2 linked regions of the Lepisosteus oculatus genome follow. The protein of the gene in region 2 purifies or fractionates together with the protein of the main gene of each other region. This does not show direct contact. Links are inferred from orthologs where the notes say so. Each region holds a gene or a part of one and is shown on either strand. Other genes may lie near its edges. The genes, in order: sesn2 and wdr59.

Evidence for each region.
Region 1: the proteins of wdr59 (region 2) and sesn2 purify together in Homo sapiens (affinity purification with western blotting; 4 studies listed by BioGRID and IntAct, with this or other methods). This does not show direct contact. The link is inferred for Lepisosteus oculatus from reciprocal best matches to the Homo sapiens genes WDR59 and SESN2.

The regions. Positions count from the first base shown.
Region 1 is NC_090706.1:9,644,198-9,651,649, reverse strand, and holds the start of sesn2 (sestrin-2), read right to left. Parts: upstream 3,095-7,452; 5' UTR 2,692-3,094; coding exon 2,344-2,691; intron 1-2,343. Other genes in the region: gpr210a (probable G-protein coupled receptor 139), read left to right, coding at 7,095-7,164. UniProt on the Homo sapiens protein: Functions as an intracellular leucine sensor that negatively regulates the mTORC1 signaling pathway through the GATOR complex. In absence of leucine, binds the GATOR subcomplex GATOR2 and prevents mTORC1 signaling.
Region 2 is NC_090715.1:16,379,628-16,387,788, reverse strand, and holds the start of wdr59 (GATOR2 complex protein WDR59), read left to right. Parts: upstream 1-5,012; 5' UTR 5,013-5,064; coding exon 5,065-5,118; intron 5,119-6,311; coding exon 6,312-6,361; intron 6,362-6,735; coding exon 6,736-6,871; intron 6,872-7,328; coding exon 7,329-7,414; intron 7,415-7,977; coding exon 7,978-8,058; intron 8,059-8,161. Other genes in the region: RNA-binding protein NOB1, read right to left, coding at 429-526, 688-966, 1,526-1,672, 2,514-2,585, 3,221-3,354, 3,717-3,849, 4,337-4,405, 4,854-4,856. UniProt on the Homo sapiens protein: As a component of the GATOR2 complex, functions as an activator of the amino acid-sensing branch of the mTORC1 signaling pathway. The GATOR2 complex indirectly activates mTORC1 through the inhibition of the GATOR1 subcomplex.

The sequences.
Region 1 (7,452 bases), on a different chromosome or scaffold from region 2:
TCAGCCTTTATCGGTGTTGCATCACTGCACAGCAGACCTGAGAAGTAGAGTAAAAGTTATTCCAGTGACTAGGCAATAGTGTGGAGCAACGGTTAGGATTTCTGCTCATAATGAGCAGGTTAGAGGTTTGAATTCCAGGTGCTGTTCCACTCTAAAGCATGGGACTCAACTAAAATGTCTCCAGTAAAAACCAAGTTCTACAAAGCTGTGTTGGATACGTCAGCAAATCGGTGTAATGCATTTGAGTCTTCTATGATTTTATGCAATCATCCTACAATTCAGCAAAGATTTCAATATTGAACAAGCAAACAGCCTTCAAAAAAATGGGAATGAAGTTAATAATGTAGCAGCTCTAATTGCAATGCACCAGCCTTTCAGAAGGACTCGTCTAAAGACTCTGAAGGTGAGTGTTCACATAGTTCTCTCTTTAATGAAGAGGGACAGGTTTTATAAATCAGTCAGGTCCATCTAACCAATTAGTCTGTATTTACCCTAAGATGACCCTGCCCTGACCCTCAGGGGTCAGTGTGAGAAGTATGTGCTACAGAGCACATTTGCAACAGAAGAAGGAGACTCAATCTCTCCATCCTAAAAACAACTAATTATACCATTTGCATTGCTGCCCATTAATTTACAGACACTAATTTAGTTCTTCAGTCGTTTGGAATTGTAAAGAGAAAGGGTGTTTATTCCAGTGTTGCCAGCTAAATTCAACCCTAGTGTTGTACATCTGGGGAATTACTGAAGTTCCGCTGTAGTTCACTGCTAAATTTGTCATTTCGCTGCTGTGCAGTAGAATTGCTGGAGAAGAATAACTGCGTTGCATCACCCAGGCTGGCGCTGTGCTCCAGGGGTGGGTGGTGTGGATGTCTTCTTATACGTAATGCGGTACATAAACGCAAGCAATTACCCATCCATCCAGCCATTTTCTAACAACTCTTTTCCAATTCAGGGTCACAGAGAAGCCAGAGCCTATCCAAAAAACAACGGGCACGAGGCAGAATACACCCTGGATGTGATGGCACTCCATCACAGGGCAGACATACACACATTTGCAACAAAGCTGATTTTCCACAAACACAGGGCGAGCTATAAACCCCACGCAGACAGCGGCTTGGGAATTGAACCCGGGGCCCCAGCACTGCTCAAACATGCCACCCGCAAGCTATCATGAATATACTGTAGACAATGGCAACAGTTCAAACAACCAGTCACATCTTGGCTGGCTGCTGTGTTCAAAGAAATGTGCCACGGTACCAAATATCAAGAGGAAATAATAATGTAGAGTGGAGGCTACAGTATCCTAGGGGTTTTCAGCATCACCAAGACCTTTGGCATAAATGAATAATAAATAGAATAAATAACAAACCCATAAATATAAATACAATCCTTATATAGCACATTTTTAGACACTGTACTCAAAATGCTTTACAGGTACTGGGGAATCCCCTCCACCACCATCAATATATGGCCTCCGCCTAATGCAACGACAGCCACAAAGCACCAGTACACTCATCACACACCAGCTATCAGTGGGGAGGGGAACAGAGGCATGAAGCCAGTTCATAGATGGGGATTATTTGTAAACCGTGATTGGTAAAGGCCAATGGGAAATTTGGCCAGGACACCGAGATAACTCTCCTGTTCGTTTCGAGAAACGCCCTGGAATTTTTAATGACCACAAATAATAATAATTGCTTACACTTATATAGCGCTTTTCTGGACACTCCACTCAAAGAGCTTTACAGGTAATGGGGACTCCCCTCCACCACCACCAATGTGCAGCATCCACCTGGATGATGTGACGGCAGCCATAGTGCGCCAGAACGCTCACCATACATCAGCGATCAGTGGGGAGGAGAGCAGAGTAAGGTAGCCAATTCATAGAAGAGTCAGGAGCTCGGTCTTATGTCTCATCCAAAGGACAGCACCTCATGGCTAAAGTGACCAGGTTGCGAGCAAGACCACAAATAGGAATGAAGAAGAGAAATATTTATTGATCTGTCCCAAGGTGTTTAAGAAGCTCTCAAATAATAAAAAAATAACAAAATACACATTATAAACCGCTCCTGCAGCTATGTTAAACACCTCAATCTCTCGGAGTTCAAGAACAAGGTTTATGATGAACCACTTTTGTCATCGGCTTACAACTTAAATGAATAGGTGATTTTGAAGACAAATAAAAAGAGCTTGGTGATGAGAAATAAAACGCATTAACCTTCCCCAATCATCCAAACATTCAGTTGTCAGCAAGGACATCCATACACAACTACTGCAGGTGGATCTACAACAACACTTGTCTGTGGATACAAGCTGCGGTTTCGCTGTACATGTCCCTCTCACCTCTGCGGCGTGAAGGAGCTCTGCCGCTTTTTCTCTGATGTCGCGGAAGGGGCAGCTCTTGGACACCCTCAGGAGCTGCAGCAGAGTCTCTTTGTCGAGCTTCGGCGAACTCTCTCCCGGTTCCGCCAAGCCGGGCCTCTCGCTACCCAGGCACAACAGCACCGCCTGGGTCAGCGCGTCCAGGGCGGCCGCTCGCTCCTTCTGGTCTCGGCTACACAGCCGCTCGAACTTCCTGGAGTCCCACACCGGTTCGGACCTCGATGGCTTCGGACATGGCTCCTCTTGATTCGGGTCCCCTGCCTGGCTCCATTCCGAGGCTGAGACAGGAACAGGAGTCATCTCCAGCATTTTTATAATATGACCAAGTCGATTAATTCAAAAAGTCACTATGATCTTCCGCTGCGCTATTGGCCCTATGCTCAGATGGCTATACTATTATAAATAAACTTAGACACAGCAGATATTTTTCTACCAGTATTAAACGATGCTCTAAGCTTCTTCGTTGCGTAGTGCAAAACATATTTGCCATCTTCAGGTGCTGTTATACGGCTAGCTGGAATTCAGAGCTCAAAAACAGAAACTGCATCCATGGCGATAATTCGTTACGACGAAAAAAAACCCCGTAAATTGCTGACGTTTGAGCAAAATCGAGGACAAATGCTAAACTGATAAAAGGGAAAAATACAAGCTAAAAGAACGAGATCGTTAGGAAACCAGCTGATGCAATTACTTCCGAAGCTGCTGTAATGAGATAAAAGCAACGGTGTACAACAGTTCATGGGAATTGAAGTTTTATAAATACAATCCCATATTTCACACCAATGAAGCCGAAATATACAAGGGACTACAAGCACGGAGACCCATGTAAAATGTATTTGGTGCTCGTGATTGGCTCCCTTGCAACCAACAAAAAACGCAGTAGGGAAACTCAACTACGGTGGCTGAGAAGTGAAGTTATTTCAGAATCGCAGAAGTAGATGAGATGTGTTAAGCGATTTTAATAAAATAAGCCAAAGGAACCTGATTCCCCTTCTTGTTTGTGACCGTGGTTATATTGTACTTATTGTTCTTTCCCGTTGTTATCTGGGAAAGAAAACATTAAAATCTGAACAGAAATTGATTGTTTCGACGATGTTTAGAAGTAGCTGTATGTGGCCCAGCGAACGCGGTTGACACCGGGTCTGCTGATGATCAACGTGCTCCTTTGGGAGTTTCTCAAACTGTGGTTTTGGGGCACACTTTGAAACTTGAAGACATTTTTTTTGTTATACAGTAAATATTTTAATAACATGCTCCTAATTATTCCTTATTTATTTAGTTATGGTCCATTTATCTTACATCCAAGTAGCTTATATATCCAGAAAATGGAAACGGAGTGCATTTATTATCTCTTACCGTTAGAGGCGTTGTAGTCACGCGTACCCCTTGCCCAGCTTCATTGCGCGGTCGGCTAAGCAGAGTACTTCGCTGTTGGTAAACTGTTTTAAAACTTTCACAAACAAGGCTGTCTACTGTATATTATTATATTATTCGTTCCGTGTGTTTGGAGTTTTACGACATATCTCTACGAGCTGGGACTGCACAGCTCCAATACTTTTGAAGAATATTATTTTTTTAAAATCCGCAAAGAAATGAAGTGAGACTTAAAACGTGTTTTTTTTTTACAAATAACCACTATCCGCAAGTTTCGTGTCATTCTACAATTCATCATGAAAAAAACAACTTGATTTACTCACATGACAGCTTGGGCAGGTTGCGTTGAAAGTTGTAATAATTCGACTAAATCACTCCATTCAAACAGTGCAGTCGAAAACATCGATACCAATTCTTTCCACACATAGAGTGTCCTGCAATAGGATTCACACCCTTCCAATGATGTCTCACTTTGTTGAATTAAACATCAGTACAGTATGCGCATTTTCTTGGAAGTGAATGCATTTTTTATTGAAACTTGAATGGCTCAAACTGAACACTTTTATATGTAAAAGTTAAATGTCAAAATGCGATATCAGTGGCAGAGGGTGACAGCGTTTGCATGGCACTGGTGTGTGTAAATAACCAGAGAAAAGGAAACTGCAGACAATGCACACCTTATTTCCACGGACCTCCTCCACTAGGAACCCCAGTTCTTCCCAGGATGCAATTTAAAATGCTTTTCTTCTTCCTTTGACCATTAAAGTACTTCTGATTTGTGACTTAGAGTTCGTCAGGATGGCCGAGTGGTCTAAGATACCTGATTTCATGACTTACGTCTTTCCATTGCTTGGGTGTTCTGGTCTCTGACTTGGGGTGGGGGTTCAAATCCCGCTCCTGACAGTTAATACCTCTGATTTGTGAATAAAGAATATATTCTCATGACTGAAAGTGAGTAGTTTTCAATAGTTAATGTCACTAATGTATACAAATAATAGCAAAAAAAAAAATGAAATTAAGGTTATTAATGACCTGCATATTTTAATTATGAACCAGCATAATTGTCGTAATATCATGATCTTATTGCCTGTGTAAACATTAGAAAATTAATCTTTAATTATTTTAACTATTTAGAAATAGTTTTTAATTTTGAATTAGATGTTTTTTTTCATTTTGAAAATGGGAAAAAATATGGAGGTCATATCGTTTCAGTGTATTATAATGATCAGATCATTTATGAATTATTTGTAGGGTAATATTGATTTTAGTTCATGAAAACAGCATGTGTTTTCATTAAGTGAATTTGTCTGGTGTATTTATATTATTAAGATCAATTATAATACAGTGGCAGTGTAATTCCTACAGCTGGGCGCAATTACAAATCAGATCTATGTGAAAGAAGGATTCACAGATTTTTAAGTGCCCATGAAATTGAATTAGTTCTTACATGTTTGATTCAGGCATGCTAAAGTGCATTTGCAACTGCAAATAAATGACTTAATTAATTAGGCTGCTTGAAATGCCTGCAGTGTTCTTCCCATCTTTAATGAATGAATGACAGAAGTCAAACATAAACCTCCCAGACTGCAAATGAAGGACTTAATCACCAGAGATGTTTTCTTGCAGTTGATTACTTTTTTTAAATTATTTTATTTTATTGTTTGGATTGAGACTTTTATGTAAAGACTCTTTTTAGTGCAGCTGTCTCTACAGACTGCTACTCCATGCATTGTTGTTTCCCAGTCAATAAAGTTTTTTGTAAGAAAAATCCCATGTCTTTCTTCTGTTTTTTCTTCTCTGGATTCCTTGTCTCTGGCCATGGTGGTTTTTTACCCTGGGATGACAAAGCTAAATCTGCCAAGTAAAAGTTACGTTTGTCATATCTGTGCTTAAGGTGGGACTGAGCAGCATCTGTGAGGCACAAGATGAATCCCTGCACTGGGTAAGAGATAGAGTCAACACAGGGAAAGTGCAGGCAAGCATGGTGCAGGCATACACAGTCCGGGATTGTGGCGAGATACACGCATAGTTCAAAGCTGGAGAAACAGTGAAAGCACAAAGGGAATTCCAGAATTATAATCGAAACAAGTGGGCAAAGTTCAAAGCATGGGAAACAAACAGGTCCAAAGCAAAAAGGAGCAAATCCAGAGAAGTGGTCAGAGACAGTCTAGAGTTGAGAATCCAGGAAGAAACAAAACACAAAGGAACTCAGTAAAGGAGCTAAAAAAAAGGCTGAGGTCAGAGTTCATCTCTTTATCAGAGCCCCAAGAATTGTCTGAGCAGAATTGAAATATTCTGCACCATCTGATGCAGGATGTACATTGCCTGCAGGTGATATAGGTTTTCTGTCAGAATGTGTTTCCATGGTAACCAGCATTAAATGACAGGTGATTGCATGGCAAACCCAAGCTGGATCCACAGTGTCCCCACAGGAACACTGTGCTAGTTTAGCTGTTAAGGTGTTAAGATAAGCCAGGTGTTCGGAGTCTTGTCCTAGCCTTCCTGGCACTGGTTTGAAAGCATCACATGTTCAGAAGTGTGTTTCAAGAGGTTTTTGAGTGATAGTTGGAGTAATATTTAATATCAAAGAAGTATTTATTCATTTTCTTGCTTATTCCTTTGGAGACTTTTTAAAGTGTGTAGCATAAAAACTAATAACAGTTGCGATAAGTTACCTTTTTTTTTCAAAACTGACTGAACACCATGTTCCTAGGGAACAGACCCACAGTTAATGGCCATCATTTAAAATGTTTTATGTTGTTACAGATTCTTAGGAAGTTCTAAACGTGGGCTTGTTGCATGCATTGAAAGTAGAAGAAATGCCTTTGTGAGAGCCATTAAGTGACTGAATGAGCCCAAATCAATTGATTTTTATGCCGTGTTTCCTGACATAGCCGGCAGTTAATCAGCTCACCTAGCACGAACAGGACAATATCTATTTATGACATGACAACCAGGTCCATGGGGTAGGACTGTGGAATGTTTGCTTAATGTTCGAGCACTTTTACAACACCCGGTGCCAGGTGCCCTCTCAACTACTCTAACACAAAGACCACGAAGCCCAGCTGTGTCTCTCCAGGAAGGGAAGCATAAGTGACTCAAAACACTAATATGTGGGTAGCAGTAGTGCCTTTTCATAGGTCTATAGGAGGCACAAGGTCACCTGCCTATGATGCATATCTGAATTTCAGAGCACATAAGGTGTTGGACCTAGTAATGTTTGGGCAATAATGTACTGTTTGAAATACCTTTAAAAGATCAGCTAACTAAAAATGGAACAAAAAATATGACAGACTCCTGAAACCTGCTTCTTAAGCCTCCTTTACTTCATAAGAGAGATGGACTGGGATTCATTTGTGGAGATGCAGAAAGCTTATTACATTGTCCTCTGTACCACGGGGATACCAGGTGAGATTATAAATACTGTACCAACATTGATGGGGTGCATTGGAGACTTGTAGTATTTTAAACATGTTAGTGTTGTAACTTGCATTAAAAAAATTAACACTGGAAATACAAACTGTAGAGCTGTATAAATAACATATTGGTTAATACAATAATTTAACATAATTAAACAAGGTGTACAAATTACAATCTTAGGAAGGATCACTGGCTCTAAAAGCAATCTATGCTACAAGGCAGACAAATTAAAAATCATACAAAATATTAAAGACGAGAACAGTTTTATGCAAATTA
Region 2 (8,161 bases):
GCCTGTGCAGCCCACGCATGCTGACGCAGCTCCCTACTTTCTCTATGCAACGCCTACTAAGTAACAAATAAACGTGTTTTAGTTCTACAGACTTAAGGGAGGGTGAGGGATTCACTCTTGACCAGAGTTATCATAATTAAAAAAAAAAAATAACAGAAAAGTTGAAACTGCAGCAGGTCTGGTCTTGAAATGATTTTAAGTGACACCTGTTACCAGCGAACACTTTTAAGGAAGAATTTTCTGCTCCAATATTGACTTAAGGAAAAAAGTATAACACGCTAAATCTGGCTAGCCAGTAACAGTTCAATTACAGCTCTCTGACCTCTTCCATATAAAACAAACACCTGGAGATTACTGTCCTTCATTTGCAGTACAATGGAATTAAAGCATGTTTGTGATCCCTCAACATTCTCCTTAAACACACTCACTTAAAGCAGGCGTGGCAGCGCAATGTGTAGCTCCTGGTTTGCCTGATGACCATTCCATTGACCGACAGCACGTGCAGCCCAATCTGAATGAGAACGTTCTGTTTCAAAAGAAAGTAAAGAGGTGTTCAGGGAAAAGGCAGTTTCACACAATTCCTGGGGTTTCTTCAATACGCAAGTGAAACATGGCTCATCTTTTCCAACACAGTCTTTGCGCTCCGGGGGGACCGAGCTCTCGACGGCGGTTTCATTGCAGAGTCACCTGCATGGCGAAGTCTGTGGTCAGGCAGCCCACTCTCACTTCGCCTGGAGCCTGCTGGACTCCCATGTTGAGCTGGACCTGTCTGATGTTCCTGGGAGTGATCCAGCCTCCGTCTCCACTTTCCTCTTCCTCTGAGCCACTCTCCGCCTCCTCCTCCTCTCCCACGCTCCCCGCTGTCCGGGACTCCCCGCAGCACTGATCCGCGGAGACGGGCGCAGGCTGCAGCTCATCGACAGTCGCTCCCGCTGAACTGCACGCGGCCGAGACCGTCTCGGCGTTCTGCAGAAAGACAACAGGCCTCCTTACAGCCTGGACAGCCGCAGCAGGGAAGTTCCAGACCTCGTTCAGCCTCGAGGCAGTAACACATAACCCAGCAGACGGATTCCAAAGCTGTTCTATAATTTACTCACGGAGTGGCTGAAGCAAGCTGATCAGCCATGTAGCTGGACTCCTTCAAGGAACGGCTGGAGAGTCTTGGAACAATACCAGCATGCTGGACCCAATGGCCTCCGCTTAGCTGTAACCTCTCTTACATCTTATGTTGCCAAATACAAGGTAGCCAGGGGAGCTGGAGCCTATCCCAGGAAGCTATGGTTGCAAGGCAGGATACACCCTGGACAGAACACCAGTCCATCGCAGGGCACACACAGACACAGACAGCACCCCAGGAACCGAACACAGGGCCCCAGTGCTGAGAGGCAGCAACGCTGACCACTGCGCCACTGTGTCCCCTGCCTTAAGAAAACATTAAAATGGTAGAGAAGGCATTAGAAGTAACATTTGGACTGCTGCTGGAAATGGAGAACAGGCATCCACTCCAGCTCTGTCCAGTCCTCACCAGTAACTCCAGCAAGTCAGCTTCAATGCTGGGCAAGGGGCTTCTCCAGAACTGGAAGGAGTTGAACTGGGCATCGTCTGGGGAGCTGGAATTCTGTGACTTGGAGCAATTTGGTCTGACTCCTACATTCTTGTCTGAAGTACCTTTCTGCAACAACAACAAAAGAAAAAAACACTTAAATCAAATATTGTCCACTATATAACCTACAAACAGGACTTCCCCATCCTGTTCCTGGATATCCTTGTATTTGCTGGATTTCCTTCTAGCGGAGCTTAATTACTTAATTGAAGCCTTAATTGAACTAATGACTTGCTTGATTGGAAATGTTGCAATATTTTCCTACTCAAAATTCTGACACAAGCTTCTTACAAAATGTGACAGTTAAAAGGCAATCTCCATTTTTTTAAAAGCTGATGTTAAAAATAAATCACATGAATCCAGTTATTAAGTCAATTAAGGTTCAATTGTGTAACTCAGAACTCAAGGTTTATTTTAGACCTCCAGGACTAGAATTGGAATCTCTTGGCCTGCTGTGTGGAAGTGTCCATCAGGAAACTGGAGCAAAATAAAAGTTGGTATCCTTTGCTGTTAACTAATTTTTGTGACACTTTTATCAGCAGCAATATTGATTTGTACAAGTGAGAGTTTTATTGGAGCAGTCTGAGTGAACTGCAGTCTGCAGTCCCACAATCTTCCAGCTATAAATCCAGGTCTCTAACCACTGTTTTGCACTGTTACTACTCTTTCCAGGATTGACGATCAAGCTAAATGCAGCTACTAAAAACAAACCTGCAAAAATGAATTTGCTTACACAGACTGTTACCTCACCTCATCATATCTCGGGACACTTAAACTGGAAAACAAAATTAACCCTACAGCTTGAAGGAGAACACTGAGCAGCTGGCCATGTCTGTGTTAAATATGTTTGTGAAGACCAGTCTCTATAGGTCCCAGCAGGATTCTGGTCACAGTGTCCTTGGCCTCTGACCTTAGACGGGATGTGGAATCCAGCAATGTTGACGGGTGCCTCTGGGTGTCTCCAGGTGCTGCACACTTCGACCTGAAACACAAAAATATAGGTTTTACTGTTTTATTCATTGGTTGCCAATAGGAAAGTTGTCAAACTGCAGTCTGCGCAGGACCCATCTGCTTTGGGTCTTGAAATCAGATGAACACATCAAACCCAATTTAGCATCTGCGCTCTCACTGCCTGTTAAATTTAGAGTAAAATTCAAAATTCTGCTCGCTTTTAGCCACTGACATTTGGTTCTGGTCATTTTATAGTTCTTATTCCACTCCTGACTCTGAATCAAGTGTTCGCGTGACGGGATTCTGTTCCCACTGGTCCCAGGCCTTTACTCGCCGACAGAGCCGCCTGTGTGCGTGTGGAAATCCACCTCCTCCTCACCCGGCTGAGCGCTTCACTGCAGGCACTACTCCCAGCACCAGTCTGTGGCTGGTGTGGGAATTTCACCCACGAGCCCCCGGGCACAGCTGCCGAACCCGGGCTGTAGAGCACTCCGCCTAGACACGCGAGGAGCTGTGCCCGCACTGCTGTGTGTCTGCCATGCACATTTTTATCTTTCTCTGCACGTTGCACAGCACTCCGGGACGCATTGACACACGAGGTGCTCTTGCGAATGAAAATTATGATAAAACTATTATAAAACCGAACAGCCGCCGTTTTCTTCTTACTTTCACTTCTGGTTCTGTCTTGAGGTGGGCGACGCCAAGGACCTCCGACTCCAGCTGGTAGGTCAGAGCCAGCACTTTAATGTCCGTCGCCGAGAGGCTTGGGTAGTCTCCGGTCTTTTTGGAGAATTCAGTCACTGGAATCAAAAAAGCAAGAACCAGGTGAAAGAATCCCAGTTGGAGAAATTGATTCGTGCACTGCCTGTGGAAGCCCAAAGGGGCATTTATTATAGCTAAGATTCTTTTGGACAATGCTGATACATCACAGTTCTGATCTACTGTACATCCTCCCAATGAGAGAAGCAAAAAGTGTAACAGTCTCCAAACATTTTAACTATTTTTATGGCATTGGCTATAACTGGTATTTTAACCAACTGGCCCAAGCCAAAACAGGTCCAATTTTGCTAATCCATACATGAACTTTGGCATAGATAACACTCTGACATGCAGAAGGTAGAGTTATTGCCAATAACACCAAAAGGCCCAAACATTAACTCACCAATTTGAATGAATTCGGGAAGGGGCTCCTTAAACTGCAGTTGATACGGCAGGAACGCCAAACTGTTCCTGGTCTGTTTGTCCCGGATTTCATTCACCACCTCTTTCACTGTGTAGATATTCTTCCCAAAGTCCTAAAATAGGGGCGACAAGACTTGTCACATGGGTAAAGAGTATATTTAAAGTACAATCTGGATATCAGACGAATCTTAATTTTGATTAGGAACAAGTAATAGGTTTATTCCATGCTGAAAAGAGAAGAAAGAAAATAAACCTATTACGTGTTTCTCTGCAGCCTACGCATGCTGACGCAGCTACCCACCTTAAATTTGATTAGTTCGACATCTAAATCTCAACACCTTAGGAACAACTGAAGATCCTTAAGAGAAAATGGCTACTAGTAAAAACCATTCGAATTTTAATATCTACAATACGGAAGAATAAAAACTACCACGCTATACCCCTGAGCCACTTCTCCCAGTGCGATAGCAGCGCACCAACGCACTCACACCTCCGCTGTCCCAGCACGGCACACCCCTGATTGTGAGCTCTTCGGTTCTGTCTGTACACGGCTAATACAGAAACAACATCCCTGTGCGCTCCGCTCACTCTCTTTCTCACCTGCAACGGCGCCTTCTTCAAAAAAGCTCCAGCATCCGCGACAACATGCTCCACCACGGCAGAAGACATCTTGAAACAGTTGCACAACCAATCAGAAAATTGCTAAATTTGCGCAGGTCAGAGGATTTCACAGAATAACAAAAGAGTTTGCCCCCTGTCGGTGGTGTTTTGCACTACCGAAAATGATCACGAGTCTGTTTACTTGGGTCAATTTTAATCAAATAAAATACTCTTTGCATTTTTTATTATAATCTACCAATAAAGAGGTATCTAAATAGTGTTTGCAATGATGCGATATTATTGGTAATGATGCTATACGAATATGATTTACCTATCAATAATAGCACCCTGTGTTCATGGTATTTCTTATAACCTACCTATAGCTGCCGACCTGTGTCAATTCTCATACATTTCTAGGTTCATCAGTAATACATATTTGCATACATTATCTGTAGTGAACGAGGAGGATGGACAAAGTGTAATTACACTTTTGGGGGTGGAAAGGAACTTCACCCACCATTGAGTAAAACACAGCACATAGCTGATTTCAGGAGGATACCGAGGAAGAGTTATTTTAAGAACAGCGCCATGTGATCAGTATTGACCCGGAAGTCAAGACCTTATGTTCATCGAGCGCAGCGAACTCTGGGATATAGGAACGCCCTATGGAGCGCCGGCAGCCGTGTGACGTCACGGTGTTGTTGTTATGGTGCTGAAAGGGAGGCAAGATGGCGGCGCGCTGGAGCAGCGAGAATGTGGTGGTGGAGTTCAGAGATTCACAGGTACTGTGGGTCTCGATCACGGGAAAGCGATAGATCTGCTGGTCGTGGTCGTGGAGATTTAGACTCCCGACACAACTGACCACGTCGAGAGCGTTCGCAGGAATGAGGGTTTTCTGTAACTTAGGGTTGTCACTCAGTCAGTTTGCAGTCAGTGCAGAAACCAGGAGTTTTGCTTTATCTCTTTAGTCAGCAGTTTAACACTGCGAAGAAGGGATGCATCAATGTTTTTAAAGTTTAACCTTTTCCTCAGTGTTAGGAGGCGTTCACTTTTTAGGGGACATAAAATCGAATGGATTCCGGGCTTCGATAGTCGGAATTGAGGATCCTTGCTCTGAAGTAAACATGATATAATGTTTTATTTGTAGAACCCTTCACTGAGTGACAGTTGGAAATTGTGGCTTATTGTTGGCTAATTGTGGTTATTTTGGTGTGTTTTATTCCAACCCCCCTCCCCCCGCTGAGTCAGCAGATCAGATGTGAGATCTGCCTCTGTTCTCCAGTTTGACCCCCAGCTCGATGCTGGCTAACTGACCTGTCTAATTTTCGCCTCCCACATCCCTGCTCCGTTAAGGTTGCATTAGGAAATGTATTCTTGTCTTGCGTATAAAGTACTGTAGTACAAGTATGTTTAATAGCAATTATCTACAGTGTGGTGAAGAACTGTAAAGTTATGGTTGCGTTAACATTGCAGTCAACGCTGAATGTTAATTTTGTGATTTTGAAGAGTATCCGAGAAGTAGGTGTCTATTAAAATAGCGTTCCAATTTCTCAGATTAAACCTTAACGATTCATCTTATTCAAAGCAACTTACAATTTTACTTTTGAGGTGTGAGTGTGCAGTTGTGCCTTACATCAGTACTCCACAACATAAATGTGTTCGTAGAATATCAAGAAAATCTTAATTGTTGTACCCAAAACAGGTTGATTTCACGTGGAACCTTTAATTCCTCTCAAACATTTTTATGGAATGAATATGTAATCAGTGCTTTAACTAAATTAATTCATTAAATACAGATCGCTCAATTTACCTTAATTTTGCCTATTTTCTGTTAATTGTATGACAATAATTTGGAACCTTTTGCTGCTCGTAATGGTGGGAACATTAAATCCAGCTGCTTATCAATTTACTAAAAAAACAAGGACAAAATGATGTTTATGGATTGTTAGTCATCTTTTATGTCCTGTCTCTGCAGGCGACTGCGATGTCAGTGGATTGCCTTGGCCGCCATGCTGTGCTGTCTGGGTGAGCTCTCTCATCAACCTCCAGCAGCGGCAGCCAGTGATGATGCACCATGAGAGCCACACTGCCCCTGTGGGCAGTGTTTTATTACAGCAGGACTCCGCTTTGCAGTACAGCAGTATACCTTTCGTAGTGTGGAGGGGTGCATTCTAGTGCATTGTACATAGTGAACAAAATCTAGATGGTGCGGCACTGAAGATTCAGAGTGGTGTGACACTGTTTTAGAGCTTCTCGGTAATCTATTTTATTTAAGGAAAAGTGAAGAATGTTGTCTCGACCTTTTGTAAAGAAGGTATCCGGGGTGGCGGTGTGTCCGCTCGGTGTGTGGTACCTGGAGCCGCAGCAGGTGTGAACCGTGTCCTGTCTGCGTGTCCCAGGCGGCGGTTCCTGTACATCGTGAACCTGGACACCCCCTCCGAGGCCCCGCGCAAGATTGGCCGCCAGAGCAAGTGGGACGTGGGGACGGTGCAGTGGAACCCCCACGAGTCGGGGGCCTACTTCTTTGCCGCCTCGGTGAGACTGTGGTGACAGGAGAACCAGACGAGATCGTTTGCCTCAACCTTTACTGCATCTGCACCCCCTTGGTTCCCCAAACATGTTCTAGCACCCCAGATCAAAGTCACTGAAGCAGTTTGGTTTTTAAATCCTGTGGTATTTAGTAACTATATAATGAAAGAGATAGAACTATATAATTTTTCTAAAATAGTTAAGAATATTATGGAAGAATTCAACACCCTTTTAAGTTTATCTTAAAATGCCAAGGTTTGGTGGAACAAAGTAGTTGTGTCTATGTGCCTGTGCTTAATTTGTGTTTTCAGTGATCCACCTTCTAAAAAAACCTTCTGTCGATGTGTTGGAAGTAAACACAGGGCTGGTTGATTTTCACTGTGACAGTGCTGAGAAGCACAGCCCAGGTTTCCCTGCAGTGGTTCAGTGCCAGTCTGACCCAGAGGCCTTCTTGTACTTGCAGAGTAACCAGCGGGTGGACCTGTACAAGTGGCGCGATGGCGCTGGGGAGATCCACACCTCGCTGCAGGGACACACGCGCGTCATCAGGTGACAGGCCGGTGGTTTGGGGTAGAGTGCTGAAATCAACAGAGAGAGTCTTTATTATTAGTATTGGTGTACAGACAGAACAAAAAAAAGTCAGGAACAACAATATACATACATATTTGCATAAAACATCACATGTTGAGTATTGATATGGCTACAGGTTATCCCCCTTTCCTGCCATAACTTGAGCCTGTTGCTTAGAAGTCCCTTCCTCTTGCAGAAAGGAATCAGTTAACCCCTTCTTCACATCTTGTATCTTTCTTCACAGTGCACATCACATAGTAGAGTATGTGTTATATATTGTGGCCAATGTGACCCACTTATTTGCTTTTTCATTGCACTATTGATAATGAAATCATAACTTAGTCTTGTGCTGCTTTTGTACTTCACAATGTTACATGGGCAAGTATAATTCAAAGGATCCTAGTGGAATATGCAGGACATGCAGGAGTAATGCACTAGTATCTGCTAGCGTGGTGTGTGTTAATACAGCAGAAGCCCAGTCCTCTCTCTCTTCCTGCTTTCCAGGTAAATGGTCTGACAGACGTGTTGTTTGTGCCTTGCAGTGACCTGGACTGGTCGTGGTTTGATCCCGAGCTCCTCGTGACCAGTTCTGTGGACACCTACATTTACATCTGGGACACCAGGTGAGAGGTGATCTTTTTGCTGTGAAGTAACATTTGTGAAAAGATCTGTTTTTTATTTTAGTTGTAAGGGTTATATTGCAAACTGCTTCAGATGTGGATATGT